Tribolium castaneum: one gene and its partner. The protein of the gene in region 2 purifies or fractionates together with the protein of the main gene of each other region. This does not show direct contact. Links are inferred from orthologs where the notes say so. Each region holds a gene or a part of one and is shown on either strand. Other genes may lie near its edges. The genes, in order: replication factor C subunit 4 and Gnf1.

Region 1 (11,547 bases), on a different chromosome or scaffold from region 2:
ATAACTTGGTGAGTCTTACAGATAACGAAATGATTCTTGCACCAAAAATTTATTTCAAGTATTAGCTTTATTTCGTCTCGATCTTTTAAATTAAAAAACTTTCTCGCATCTCGAAAATTTCACTACACAATTATGCAAGATTACAAGAAAATGTAATTTTTTTGGTTTCCCTTTATCAAAACTCAACCTTCTTAAACTACGTATAAATCTGCATTTATTGAAAATTTGTTTGCAAAAAAAACGGAGTTTCTAGCTTTATCCAGAAGGAAGATATTAGTATGTAAACGCAAAATGTGTCCAATTTTAGGTGTTTGCAAATTTTTAGCTAAAACGTCTTTTTAGCCCCTTCGCGAGGGTTGAAACAAAGAATTCTTTGTCTAAACATTTTTTAATACTCTTTCCTAACTTATATCAACAATGCAAGCTGTTCCACAACATTTCGATTTAAAGGTTTATCTGACTGCAAGCGCGCGCCTATGCACTAACCTTCGCCCATAAAATTTCCTCACACTGGTCCTGAGACAGATCAATTTTTATTTTCAGGGAGTCATCTTTTAGTGTACCTTTAACAGTTGTTGTACCAACCCCCTTTCTGGTACCCCAAATGAAAGGTATTTTTGACCAGAAATTCGCATGAGTTTGTTTTGAGTTTAGATACTTTTTTTATGCGGTTACATGGTGGTCAATACAATTACCTGACAATACTATTGATAGAGATACATGTGGTTTGCATTTTAATTTAGTCTATATCTACAACCAGTACAACCCCTAATAACTAAAAACCTCAATCCGTAACACGTTCGTTTCCCTTTAACTGCTCGAATATTTGTCAAATAACCAACTTTTTTACAGTTTTTACATGAAAAACGCATCAAATTAATCAGAAACTTCAAGTACTTACCTAAACTGGGGAAGGTATAGCCGGTCGAACCCACGTGCAAACTATCAAACCTAAAGGAAGTCTTGAAATCTCCAGGTCCAACCGGTCACACAGTATTTTAACAACAAAACGTTTACGTAAAAGAAAATCACGTTTCAGCAACACTACATATTTGCAAATTCGTCTTTCAAGACACTTCTAGTATTTTATGCTGAGCACAAAACACAAAACCGCTGATTATATATGCCACTAAACCTGCTGAGCGCTGAAGAAAAATATTAAGAATCAACGGACTACACAGAGGGCAGCACCTGATCATGAAGCCATTGTATGTATTTTTGGTTGTCTAATTTATACCACAGTTTACGAAAGACCATAGCCTCCTTGATGTTTGAAGACAACGTTGTTCAGAATCAAAACTATACTCAGAACGTTTGAAGAGGAGTTATTCAAGTAAGCGCGCGAAAAGTAATAAACAAATTGCTTTCTTTACAACTGCACCTTGTTCCTAAATTCAGTCACTACCTCACAGGTCAGTTGGTATCTTATTTTAAGTATTTATAACCGAGTTTAAACGGATTAAAAGTCGATTTAATTTATTGTTCTATTAAAAAAATGGCATGAAAAAAATACGGTAACTTAGCAACATTAATACATAAATTTTAAAAAATGTTCAATTTTTAGTCGTTTTATTTTTTTATTTAAAAATAGTAACATGTTTTTTGATAATTTTTTGTATGGGTCGTGTATATAACACTATTTTTTTCATGCTATTTGAACTTAAGTTTTTCCATAAAAATATTAAGATTATTACGCTGTTTACCCCGTTATAACTTGGGTACAAATATTTAAATCGAGATAAGAAATGGTCTATGAGGTACATAATACGTTAACCTAGGAACTACATCCAAATGTAAAAAAACGATTTAGTTTATTATTTTGCTTGAAAATTGAGTTTTAAATTAATGCACTAGCAGAAACAACGCTTCGAGCGTAATACCGTCTCGATGTCACTCGGTGTGAAATCGTTTTAAATTCAACCAATTCACTAATTACTTGAAAAAAATATGCCGAAATATTTTATTTAATATTAATATTTTAATATTAAGCTTTGCATTCTCAACAGACTGAGAAAAACGGAGGACAAAAATTTTCATGAGAAACATGAGAAAAAAATTATTTGAAATTTAAAATTTGCGCTTTTTCCCGTATTTTTCAATATGCTTCAAAATGCGGTTAAAGATACAAGAAAAATGTCCAAAAAAAAGTTGTAGAGAATTAAATTTCTTTAAAACAGTCAGCGAGCCCATATCTTTACCTACAACGGTTTAGACTTTAAAAGACGTTCAAAGATGCTCAAGCGACTTTTTTGTAGCAAATTTAATTCTCTACAACATCGTTCCTTACATTTTTTTGTATCTTCAACCATATTCGCAGCGTTTTAATAAGTAGGCGACGGTGCCCAAAAAATTATCGCTTAGAATTAGCAATTTGCGTTCCACCTTATATTTTTGAAAACAAACTAATTTTTAATTTCAACTCGAAATAAAACGTTTGTATTTTGGGAAAATTTAATTTAATGAGACTTACACATTACAAAATGCTCGAATTATAGAACACCCCAAATCCAACAGTTGAATAAATTCCGAACCACCATCTTGCAGTTTAAAACTCACAACCTACAAAATTTAATACATCTCACGCAAAACACGGAATAGATAATTACCCCCAGTTTCTGACCAATAATCGCCTTTTGTTGGTCAGTGAACCCCTCAAAATTAACAATGTACTGATTGAGCTGTTCCAAAATCTAAAACAAATTTCTGATCAAAGTGAGTGAAATTAAGTTGCAACACTGATTAACCTGTGAGGCGGCATATGCTTCAAACATCATTTCTTTCAAAAACGCTTGAAGTTTGTTTTGATCTTTGGTTTTACAAACATCTAAAAACTTCTTTAACCAACGTTCTGGCACAACCTATTACAATTTCTATTAAACCAAAAACAATATTAAAAAAAATGAGAACATACACCGGTCACTTCCAACACGTCATCAATACTTATAGGAACCCCACTTCCTTTCAATTTCGCACAACTCTGTAATGAAGTAATGGCTCTCCTCATATCGCCCCCACTTGTCTCAACCAAGGTAGCTAAAGTTTCATCGCTACATTCGACATTTTCTTTCCCACATATGAAACTCAACCGTTCAAGGATCATAGCTTCGTTCAGTGGTTTAAATCGAAATTTCGTACATCGTGATGTCAACGGTTCGATAATCCGTGACACGTAGTTACAAATTAGACAAAATCTGGTTGATCGAGACTCTTTTTCCATCGTTCGACGTAAGGCAGCCTGAGCTGCGTGTGTCATCGAGTCCGCTTCATCCAAAATGACGATTTTGAACGGAGGGCACGGTTTACCACTTAAAAAAACATTGTATAAGTATTCATTATTCCAAATAAAAGTGTGGTCAAAAAGGTATTGCAAAAAAATATAACAAGCCAAAAGAAACAACTAAAATTTGCGCAACTAAAAATGACAAAATTAACATTGTCAGGTAAGTTTGTTCTTTATTGAATTCAAACGATTTTATAATTAATTCGAAATTTCTGTTTTATATCCCATGTCAGTTCATAGTAGAATGTTGCAACAGCGCATTTGAATTTTTTGGAGTGAAATGGAGCACAAATTGAAGGTTTCTGGTGGGATTTACTTTTACGGAAACTCTCAGTTTGTGCTTTATTTCTCGCTCCGAAAAATTCAAATGCGCTGTTGCAATTTAACTATGAACTGAAATGGGGTACATATCAGCTGTTTCAAAACTATAAATGACAACGTCGCATTTTAACGAATTATTTTATTAAATAAGATTGATAAAATGTAAAATAGTTATAAATCATTAGATCTCTCATTGAAACTATAAATTACATTACCAATTATTTTTTTGAAGTGCATGAATAATTCATTACAATCATAACAGCTAATTTTAAGAGAAAATGTGACGTTAGCATTTTTATAGTTTTGAAAGAGCTAATACTTCTTCATCAAAAAGAATTAAAACCAAGAATTGTGCAGGTTGCTGCATTTTGGATGTCGGAATAGGCGATCTCCGAAACTAAGAGGTTTAGAGAAAAACGAGCTCGGGTCCGTTTTTTGAGAAAATAATTTTCATCAAAACCGCATCCCGCTATCGTCTTTTGTTTTCGACTTATAAACAAAAGTTGACATTTTAGCGGAATCTAAAAAAATTCATATCTTTCTTTTTATAAAAGATAAACAAAGACATTATGCCGGCACTTTTTTACAGAGAATTTAATAATGTTATCAGCGTTTTTTTTAATCATTCGTTTAGCTGTAATAACTAATAACATAAAGTTGTATTTTTTTAAAGGAGAATCATAGTTTGCTATGACATTTTCGAAAAGCTTATTTTTTTCTGAACTGAAAACAATATAAATATAGTTTGATATCTGGTATATTTTTGATAAAAAATATATTTAAAATATTTGAAAGTAGTTGGCCATGGTAAAACTATTTCACATAAAAGGTAAATTATCAAAATAAGCTATGTTAAAGTTATTTTCAATCGAACAAATATACGATTATCGCAGATTTTAATTACATAAAAAAGTGCAGAAAAGTGAAAACCTTGTGTCACTACCATTTGATGACACTTTTTTTATAATTTAGTGAAGTGCAATGTTGGTCGGGGGACGTTGTTAATGTTATGTATTTTTTTTACCGCAGATGGGATTTAATTTTGGTGTTTGGATTGACATTTTTCTGTAAAATAAAATTTTATTGACAAGCAATCATACAATTAATAACATTTTTCTTTATTCCGATATTTCATGTTTAATTAGAAAATAGAATGACAATGTAAGCTTGCCATTTTAAATCTAAAAACAAATAATTTTTATTAATCACAAATATTTGATCTAATAATTATTTATTACGCTGTTTTTAAATTAATTAGAATTTAAAAAATCATTACATTATAAATACTTGTTGAGTAATACAGTTCTCATAGTTTTAATTGAAAATCCAAAATTTTTCCATGGCCTACTATAGAGAAAAAGCAAAATGTTTTGTTTTTCTTAAATATTTAAAAATAATGTATTACACATTTAGACGTATCTAATCAGAAAAAATAAGCTTTTGAAAAATATCCCAGCCGCCTATGATTCCTATTAAAAAAAACAAAACTTTATGTTATTCCAGCTAAACGAATGGTTAAAAAATCGCTGATAGCATTATTAAATTCTCTGTAAAAAGTGCCTGCATAATGTCTTTGTTTCAAATGTGTATCTTTTATAATAAGAAAGATGTGAACTTTTTAAGATTTCACTAAAATGTGAACTTTTGTTTATAAGTCGAAAACAAAAGACGATAACAGGATGCGGTTTTGACCAAAATTATTTAAAAAAAAATGGACCCGGAAATGCGTCACTCGTTTTTCTCTAAATCTCTTAGTTTCGGAGATCCCCTGTTTGGACATCCATAATGCAGCACCCTGTACACATCACTGTTGACCAGGTTTTTAACAAAAAATAATTCGCAAAGCTTACTCAGGCCTTGTACCGCTAGCAGTTAGTTGTGCAAAAGTCTTGACCTTGTCTCGAATAACTTGAATTCCTCGTTCATCGGACGCATTCAGTTCAAGAATTCTGTCTCTGTAATAGTCACCAAAAAGCTGTCTTGCAGCTGCCAGAATTGTGCTGGTTTTGCCTGTCCCAGGAGGACCATAAAACAACAAGTTTGGGAGATCCGCCCCTGAAATACATTGCTGTAACACTGAAACAGCCTCGCTCTGTTCCACAACGTCCGAGACTGTCCTAGGACGGCTGCAAACAACCTATTTCAAACAAACAAATATACTAATAATTTTACGTACTATTTTTCAACCCACGGGACGGCTTTCGACTTTTTTGATGTTTTCGAGCTTGAAGGCACTGATTTATCACTATTATCTAACTTTCCCGACTTGAGAAAGGCCTGCATTTTTGCGTAAATATTTGGCGCGTTTTATTTGAGGTTAAGTTGTCAAACGACGAATGTTGATGCTACCGCTTCACAGATGGCGCACAGAAATTTTAGTAAAACAGTAGTAAAAACCATTCCAAAAATTAGTGATTATCTAACTATAAGCGACAAAGATTGTAAATTTATAAATTAAATTAAATTAGATTTTATGGAATGTTTTCTGGTAACCGCTTCACTGCTTGAGGTTTGTTTGTTTCAATGTCAAAAAAAATTGAAAAAATCGTTTGAAAAATTACTATTTATTAGAGACCAAGAGATAAGATTGTAAATAATATTAAATTACAACAATATATTACAAAAGAATGCATTGATTGATCATGATAAAGTTGGTCTTGACCAATTGAACAACAAGGAATGTTGTACAATAAATTAAATAAATAACAATTAGATAATATTTCAGGCAATATTAACTAAACACATTTTGCAAGTCAGGTGTCACTTCTTTCGGTTGAGGTTTCTTCGAAAATGCTAAGCTGGGTAGGTCATGAATTTTGACCTCTTTTTTAAAAAGCTGGCCCATACTTCGTCCAATCAACTGAAAAAAAATCAAGTTACGATATAACTCAAATTCTATAACCCAAGTTAGAACTGTTTGCGCTCTCTGGTAGTCAATTCCGATATCACGACATTCACTTGTAGCATTTAAAGAAATACGTTTTAAATAAAATCACATAAACTAATTAATATTGACACAATTTAGTAAAAAATTAAAGTAACAAATAGTATAAAAAATTTAGTAATATATTTCAAAAAAAAATTTTTGCTACAAAAACTTGTTTTTAAAAAAACAAATAAAAAGAAGTTCGGCATATATCCCAAAAGAGCAAAAATAATGTAACTCTTATCTTACTTTGATCATTATTCGATGGTTGTAGCAAAAAATCTCAACCAAAACTAATGATTTAATTAAGGGCACCATTTTCAAGTTTTTTGTTTGTTTGGCGATATTGTAAAACAAAAATCAACAATTTTTGGCTAAATATGATTTTTTTGCGAACCGTATTCAATAAATTTTTACAAAACAATTGTATTCCCAACTGACAAACATATTAAAACACAAGAAAAAAATATATTTCCAAAAGTCTTTAGTAATTTTTCAAAGCAAAACCACTATTTTTAAATAATTCATTGATTTTTAACTTAAACTGGATGAAACAAACAAAAAATATATATTAATTTCGATCAAATTTCGCATTTGACTAATTTGACTATTTGACTAATAAAAAAATAAAAATAAAAATGCGTTCCGAATAACCTTAGCATTTTCGGTCACTTTTAAAAAAATCTCAAAAACAAAAAGTGAACATAGTTCAAAAACACCATTTTTGTTTTTGTTTTTCTATTGAGCCACCCTAAGTATCTACGAAAATAAGCAAAAAATTAAAAGATTCCAAAACAAGTCAATTTTTATTAAAAGGGGGACACCTAATGTATAAAAGTTGTAGCGCCAACCCCCCTTGTAACACAAACAACCCTTACAAAATTTTAAATGGCAACATGCCCTTTGTGATACCTCAAATAAAAGATATTTTGACTAAGAATTCGACTGTGTAATTTTTTGTTAGTTTTCAGTATTTTTATTTACATGACCCAGAACAAGATTTATCAGAACAGCAGAACAAATTTATTATTATAAAAGACACCTATAAATTTTAAACGTGACAAAATAGTGAATTCTGGCAAAAGTGATAAATCCCTCAAAAGAAGCAAAAACGCTTCAAACAGAAAAACGACAGCTCAGACTAACTACTTAAGTAAGCACCAGAATTTAAAACACAAATCAAGACACACCCTACAATTGAAAGTTGAAACAATATTGCCGAAAAATGCATAAAAATGATAAAACAAATAAGCAAAAATTTGATAGCGATGACACCGCGATGACTTTTCTTAAAAACTACGGTAGTTATCTGAACGAAACGGCACACTGAATTTAAGACCATAGTCGACTTTTTGATAAAGAACCATCTTTGAACAGTGGATTATCAAGTAATTGAGCCCCAAGTAACTTTATAAAAAATTATTGAAACTCAAAAAAAATCACAGTGCCGAATTTCTTCTGATCAAAAAAGTATGTTCTTCTAAGAAAATTAAATTTCTGCAAGGTTGCTTTAATTTGGGAAAAAAGTTGTGATTCTATATCGTACACCAGAGAGCCCTTGAGCAAAGAATAGACGAAAAACTTACATTTCCCGTTATTTTCCGAAACAAATCCTTCTTCACCTTCTCGACCTTATTTCCTTTACTTGTACTGCCTGAAATTCTTTCATCCAACTTTTGCAAATCAACTGGGTTCACTCCGGGAATTTGTTGCATCACACCGAGTACTTCGAGAAAAGTAGGCCGTAACATTTCATACATTTGTGCACCTAAGGTCAATAAAGACCCTTGATTGGCTTCATGTTGCCCATGTAACATCAAAGCGTTCAAAACGGACGCCATTATATGTGCTGCCATCTCTCCGTTTAAAGAACTATCAGAAACCAATTGTCTAACTATAGGTCCAGTCAAAAAAGTTGCTTTTAACGATGCGTTACTGTCAATCCATGACAACGCACCCAGTACTGCCAACACAATCGACTGACAAGTTTTCTCGCTACGCAAGAGTACCAAACCTTGAACATGAAATTAGCCAAAATTTGATTATTTATATTGTCACAAACCTAAATCAGATATAACCTCCGTGGTCATATTCGATCGTGTTGGAGGAGGCGGTGTTGGGGAATCCATACTCAGATCTTCAGTTTCCATATTTTCAGTATTTGTTTCAGGTGTGAGTCCACCGCCTACTAAAGCCACCTTTAGTACGTCCAAATATTCACGAGTTAGAGCTCGTGTTAAAATATCTTCAAGAACTTCTTGAGTGTCAGCGTTATCTTCTTGTCCTTCGCGATTGCGAAATTCGTTCACTTGTAACCATTTTGCGTGTAAACGTGATAACACTAAAACGTTGGTTGTATAATTCTGATTTGCTACATAACACTATTTGATCGTACTTAGAGGTGCTATGTGTGCAACGATGGGCAAAAGTACAGCTTCGTAGAATGGCGTAGGACAAGAATAGATAAAGGGTTTTAAGAAAACACGAATTATGGGTCGCATTCGATAATCTGGGATACACTAAAATGGAAACAACATTATTGTAAGATATAACAATTAAGTTGGCAATTGAAATCTTCATTTGGCAACAATGACTAAAGTTTTTTAGAAGACTCTCGTTGGGTAGATTTTAGTTTTCTCGTAACAAATTAGGACTAAAGATAATAGCTTTGTTCGGAGGATATTTAAGACTATATCCTGAACTAGTCCAAGATTTATTTAAAGCTAATGTACGGTTCAGAATCAGTTACGGATTTTCGATCACCGCGAACGATAATTTATCGTTATCAAGTATACAATAAATGTTTAAAAACTAACAAGCCACCAAAAATTATCACAAAGTTATAAATGAGATTCGAAAAAATTTGATACAAAAAGGTATACATTGATGAAAACAACCCATTTTAAAGTTTACAACGTTATTTTATAAATAACTTCAATTTAGTAAGGAATTAAATAAATCCCGGTAACTAAAACTATTTCTTTATTGTGATTCAAACCGATTACCAACTATTATACAGGCTCTCGCAAACAAGTGCAAATATTTCAGCGGTAATGTTAGAAGGTATGGTGATCCAACTCCCTTCATTTGTTTTAAAGTGGAACCAACTAACAAGGCCAGGAATCATTTCAAAATAATTAAATTAAATTCTTTTTATTTTAAAAAATAAATTGACAAATATTTTTTTTGCTAGAAACGTTAAAATAAAACTATCTGGACTGATATCGACTGCATCTTAGTACATTTTATCATTTTACGCGAAAACAGTACACTTTACAAAAAACTTACAAGTTACAACAAAAAATTTAAACTGAATGGGCTTGAAATTGGACTAAAGCCGAAATTGAGCTACAAAGTTATGAAATCATTTATGTCAACAGAGCCCTCGTAGCCTCCTTTGACAACGTTCTGCAACTTTAGGTATAATTTACACTGTTAAATAATTATTTAAAAAAACGACTGTTGAGGATAATAATTTTACAATTCCACAAAAAATACAAATCAATTTGTTTTACGCTTTTTGTCCAAAAAAGCTGTATTTTTTTTGGAAACTCAAGAACATATGTGAATCCGGACAAATCACGCTCATCCACTCGTTATACTTATAATGTTTTTCAGTAAAAGTTTTCGTGAAATTTATGAATTACTAAAAATGTAAGACACAGATTTGCGATTTATTCATGAGGTAAAGTTTCGGGAACGGTCCTTCTCATCTTCAAACAATGATATGTAATTTGAATCTGTATTAAACCATAGTATCTTAGTTTTTACTTGTAAATATTCCAACATGTTCTAAAATCTCTTACAATATTTCTCTCGGAAATTCGACCCTAAATTAAATTTGACTTCATGGGAAACAAAAGAGCAACAATTAATACCACTGCTAAAGAAAACAAATTTAAGAAGTTGAATCTACCTTAAATCTAATTTAATTTTTATGATTAACTAACATCTTTTATTACCATTTGACACTTTTGAATCTCCCTGCATTCATATTTTTTTCCTTTTCACTGCTTTCCACACGTTTTTTGGTTCTAGTAAACTGTGTTGTCTTTTATTGAATCAGTTCTTACTTTTCAAAGCAAAATCCGAAACGTCGTTTAAGAGATTTTTTTGGTTAATTTACTTACTGCCTTGGAAGTTAACTCTGCATTTCATTTATTAAACCATCACATTTCACTTCGTATTTGTAAAAAATCTTTGGATACAATTGTATTGCTTGCTTTTCTGTTAATGTAAATTAACTTAGGAATCATTCCCGACACTCTTAAAAGAAAAAAACGGAAGATCCTATCGTCCAATTCCGTTTAATTCGAGAAATAGCAATGGATTTTTTGCCTTGTTCAATATTCAATGTTGCCAATAGATTTTTTTTAATATTTCCAATTTGTTTTTCAATTCCGAAGTAAAATTACCGTTGGGGGCGGCACTGAGATAGGTCGAAAATAGTAACCATAAATGGCGGAATTTGTTTATTCGGATATTTTGAGCGTTGTACGAATTTTGAAGCTTCATAATTACTGTCTATGCGGAATGACTATTGTATATTTGGTGCAAGAAACGAATGTTGATAAATTAGAGATGACGAAGAAAACAAGTATAATGAATGACTGTTTGGTTCACTTTCTTTATTGGAAAATTATTACAAAGACATTAAAAAGCCCACCTTTTGGAACAATTTACGCTTAAATGTATCAGCAGTTGTTAATCTTAATTGTAGTTTTGTAAATTTACCGAAGTGTTTTATGATTTTTTCAGTGGAAAAATTCTAACCAAAAATTCAGACACTTCACTAAGTTATTGGTTTCTTGAGCCCAACAGTGTTTGATGTGATCCATTACTTATAGACTTTAATTACAAAACTGTTTAGTAACACTTTGTAATCAAAATTTAAATCTTTTTCACTTTTTATCCACTTTCAAATTCCAACAGTAAACACTTTATACCACAAAAAAAACCAGAACCAAAGTCAAAGCTAGTATTTACCACCACATACTTTTAAAGTGATTCTCTCTAATGT
Region 2 (4,037 bases):
AAGTAAACTACACACAGTATTTAATTAAAATCATGGTATATGCACAGTATCTAGTTTCCGTTTACGCAGTTAATAAACGTTCAATAACTAGCTTGCAGGCTGCAATTATTATTTTTTCTGTGCATTGTCGTTTAAATAAAATACTGTGCATTTAATTTGTACCGATTTTGAAATCCCAGTTATGTATAACGATTTCATGGATATTTTAAATTCTGGATATCATCATAAACGTCATAAATTTAGTAGATTTTTTTTACTGGTTTTTTTAATTTCCCAAAATTCTAAATATATCTGGTGTTTCGTTATTGCATTTACGCTACTTTAACTCATTTAAATCGTATCTAATCCTATAAAAACGATTTAAGTTGATGGGAGGAAAAAAAGGAGAGAACTGCAGGAAATTATTTGAGATTTTTTTTAACTCTCACTTACTTTTCTTCATTCTTTACCGAAAATCTTAGTGCAGTATTGATAAACATGAAGAGAAATGTCATCAAGATATACATATTAATATTGCACGTAGATGAGAGACGATACAAGGAAAAGTTGACTAATAGACAGGAGATTGTCAGATGCAATGCTATCAGATTTTCGTGAATTTTTCAGTGAAAAATATGAAAACAAAAACTAGAGGAATGGCTGTAAGCTAGATTTCGTGACCGCATCTATTGTTTTATTTTATATTGTTTTTTATTCTTTTCTTCTTCTTTTTTTTAATACGATACATTTATTTCTTTTATGTATTTTTACAAATATTATTGCGGAAGTAATGAAAAAAAAAACATTTTTCTTAATTTTAATACTGACCTGTTGCATATCCAGCTATTGTTTTAGTGCTCAACAACTGCGCCACTTCTTCATGTAGCAACTTCTTGCTCCTCGTATCAGAAGCATTAAACTCGACTATATCCAAACCCAATTCCTTTGCCACAAGTGTTGCAGTTGTGGTTTTACCAACACCTGGTGGACCACTCAACAACGCACACTTGAAATAAGCACCATCATCTTTCTTAGTAGACCAAGGACTAGGACGTGCTAATGTTTTTTTAACTTTCGGGTCTTGATTTTTGTACCAATTTTCAAGCCAGTGTTTGAGTTTGGCCAAATTACTTGAATCACCTTGTTGTCCTATTACTGCTCGAAGTGTCTGTGGCTTGTATTTTTCAGGCAAGGATAACTGAACTGCCTCTACTTTATTTTCGATTTTTGTACTTTCCGAAACTTTACTAGTGCCAGGTTGGCTATAAAAACTGTTAGATGACAGAGTTTCACTTTTAATTTCCTGCTCTATTTTGGATGGAGCGGTACCGTTTTGTTTTTTGACACTCGATTTTTTTTCAGGCGTTTCTTTTTTAGGCTCAGTTTTGTTACTTATTTTTTCTTTGCTAGGTTTTGTTTCATGGTTTAAATCAATGCCTAAATCCTCGCTATCACACGACGTATTCTTTTTGCAATATTTCGGTTCCATCCCTGACTTTGTAAGTATCATGTCCAAAAGCTCATCTTCAGATATGTTAGGTATGTTATAACTTTCAGCTTTTGCAAGTTTTGCCGGCCCTGGTTCTGCACCCACAACCACATAATTTACTTTTTCTAAAAAAAATAACTTGCACTTTATTTTTTTCATTAATAACAAAAAAATCGTACTTGAAACTGCGTGCACTACACGTCCACCGTGTTGTTTTATTATATTTGCAAACTCCTCCGAATCAAGCGAGTCTAAAACGCCAGTTCTTAGGAAACACAAATTTTGCAAACAATTCGGCTTCCCCTGGAAATAAGAAAGACAATTGTAAGTTTTTTAACATTTTGAACGACACACTTTTGGCAATTCCTTCATTCCAAGATGTTTGGGTTCCCCTCTGTTGAGGTACCTTTGGTAGAGCATGGCTGAGTATCTCTTTTTTTCATGAGCTTCTTGTCCCGGATCAATACCAGAGTCCGAATGCTCAATTTTCTTCTTCTTAGGTGTTTGATCTGAAAATACGTTATCTTGAATTTCAAACAAACTTAAAACTACTTACTATCACTTGACGAATCGTTTCTTGATCGTTTCTTTGCGCTTTGAACTTGACTATCTGATTCATTTTTACTTTCTTTCTTTTCTTTATCACCCTGGTACGCTTCCTCAATTGACTCAATAAGATGAATACTCTGTTCGAAAATATCATCATCTAAGTCTTCCAGCGTCTTGTTGAAAGCACTATTGTTGTGAATCTCCTTCTCCGCATCGTGCTTTTTCTTCCTATTTTTGGGTTTTTTCTCTTCTGCTTTTGTAGGCTTGACTTCGGGTGTTTGTGGCACTTCAACCTTGCTCTGTTTTATAGGACTGTTCTTAAACACGTCGGCCACATTCACCGGTTTTAATTTCGGTTCTTCAGTCTTCCTTTTTTTCTTCGCGTCTTCATCAGAGTCTGAACTTAGAACTTCACGTTTCTTCTCAACCTTCTTCTGCTCTTTGTCTGGAGTGGCAGAAATCACGTCCTCATCATCGGAGTCTATGATACGTTTTGGCTTCTTTTTAACGGCAGGAGAAGCAGCTTTGGGCGAATTTGCATCAGACTTCTTTGAAATTACAGTGAAAAAGGAACGGATGTCCTAAAATTAAGGTTAATTGCTCGTTTGGGAAAAATACAAGTTTTGGCTTACTTTCGACATGGTACGATTACGTTACACCCAAAATTATCTGTTGTTTTTATCAAATTATTATCTGTTTGCAGGTTGTTGTTTAATTCACAAACACAATCCGGGAAATCTCCCGCCACAACAAATTTCAATTGACAGTTAGTTTTTCAGGTTAGAAAAAAATAACCTCTTTAACCTCAAATTATAAAAACATGTATTTATTTTCGAAAACACTATTACGAAGGGTATTACTAGTCCGAAAAAATTACGTTTTTTATACAACGTCTAAGTATGATCTAGATTTGGCCATCAAAGGGGTGTCTCTCCGAAATTACATTAAACGATTGGAACATGAATATGAGGGGCTTTTAAAATTGAACAATTACACTGCCAATAGTCGCTTTCATCAATTGCAGCCTCTAATTAACGCACTAAATGAAAGAAAAGATGCTGTCGAAAACATACAAAATTTGTCCGAATTATTGAACGAAAAAGACGATGATATTAGGAAACTGGCAGAAGAGGAAAAACTGACGTTTGAAAGCAGGATCAAGTCTATTGATGAAAAACTACTTGAAGCAATTTTACCGTCAGATAAGGAAGATGAGTGCAACTCCATCGTATTGGAAGTTAATGCTGGAGTTGGGGGCCAAGAGGCAATGTTATTTGCTAACGAATTATTCGAAATGTATTGTAATTTTGCCGAGCATCAAGGTAAGAAATTCACCAGTTTTTTCAAACACAAACCTTTGTATTTTCCAGGCTGGGAAACGCAAATCGCTGATTACTCCCCAGTTGACATTGGCGGAATCAGGCACGCAAGTGCCCTAATTAACGGACCTCAAGTGTTTCAATTTTTCAAGCATGAAGCGGGGGTTCACCGGGTCCAGAGAATCCCGACTACGGAAAAGGCGGGTCGTATTCACACCAGCACTGTCTCGGTTGTTGCCCTTCCACAACCCACAGAGATTGAAGTTAACATCGATAACAAAGATTTGAAAATTGAGACGAAACGGGCGAGTGGGGCTGGGGGGCAGCACGTGAATACGACCGAAAGTGCCGTCCGGGTGACACATTTGCCCACGGGGTTTAGTGTGGAGTGTCAAGTGGACAGGTCTCAAGTGAAAAATCGTCAAATTGCTTTGGCTAAGTTGAGGGCTTTGATTTATCAACGTGATCTTGAAGAGCAGATAGCGAGGAACGAGAATATGAGGAAGAACCAAGTTAGGTCGAATTTTAGAAACGAGAAAATTAGGACTTATAATTTTCCGCAAGACAGGATCACTGATCATAGGTTACAGGGGTGCAATGTGCACAACCTTAAAGGGTTTCTTCAAGGGAATGATGCTTTAGGGAGTTTGATTAAGAAACTAGATCAACAGTACAAAATTGAGACTTTGTTAAATCTTGTA

Evidence for each region.
Region 1: the proteins of Gnf1 (region 2) and replication factor C subunit 4 fractionate together in Homo sapiens (co-fractionation; 7 studies listed by BioGRID and IntAct, counting the BioPlex papers as one, with this or other methods). This does not show direct contact. The link is inferred for Tribolium castaneum from reciprocal best matches to the Homo sapiens genes RFC1 and RFC4.

What each region holds. Positions count from the first base shown.
Region 1 is NC_087402.1:11,618,698-11,630,244, reverse strand, and holds replication factor C subunit 4, read right to left. Parts: upstream 5,946-11,547; 5' UTR 5,885-5,945; coding exon 5,778-5,884; intron 5,728-5,777; coding exon 5,452-5,727; intron 3,306-5,451; coding exon 2,912-3,305; intron 2,859-2,911; coding exon 2,745-2,858; intron 2,704-2,744; exon of another isoform or gene 2,691-2,703; coding exon 2,607-2,690; intron 2,560-2,606; coding exon 2,467-2,559; 3' UTR 2,434-2,466; downstream 1-2,433. Other genes in the region: Ranbp21 (exportin-5), read right to left, coding at 6,333-6,461, 8,114-8,541, 8,590-8,868, 8,923-9,046. UniProt on the Homo sapiens protein: Subunit of the replication factor C (RFC) complex which acts during elongation of primed DNA templates by DNA polymerases delta and epsilon, and is necessary for ATP-dependent loading of proliferating cell nuclear antigen (PCNA) onto primed DNA.
Region 2 is NC_087398.1:12,867,725-12,871,761, forward strand, and holds the start of Gnf1 (replication factor C subunit 1), read right to left. Parts: upstream 2,801-4,037; 5' UTR 2,659-2,800; coding exon 2,650-2,658; intron 2,599-2,649; coding exon 2,025-2,598; intron 1,978-2,024; coding exon 1,823-1,977; intron 1,772-1,822; coding exon 1,648-1,771; intron 1,594-1,647; coding exon 808-1,593; intron 1-807. Other genes in the region: mRF1 (peptide chain release factor 1-like, mitochondrial), read left to right, coding at 3,312-3,339, 3,388-4,037. UniProt on the Homo sapiens protein: Subunit of the replication factor C (RFC) complex which acts during elongation of primed DNA templates by DNA polymerases delta and epsilon, and is necessary for ATP-dependent loading of proliferating cell nuclear antigen (PCNA) onto primed DNA.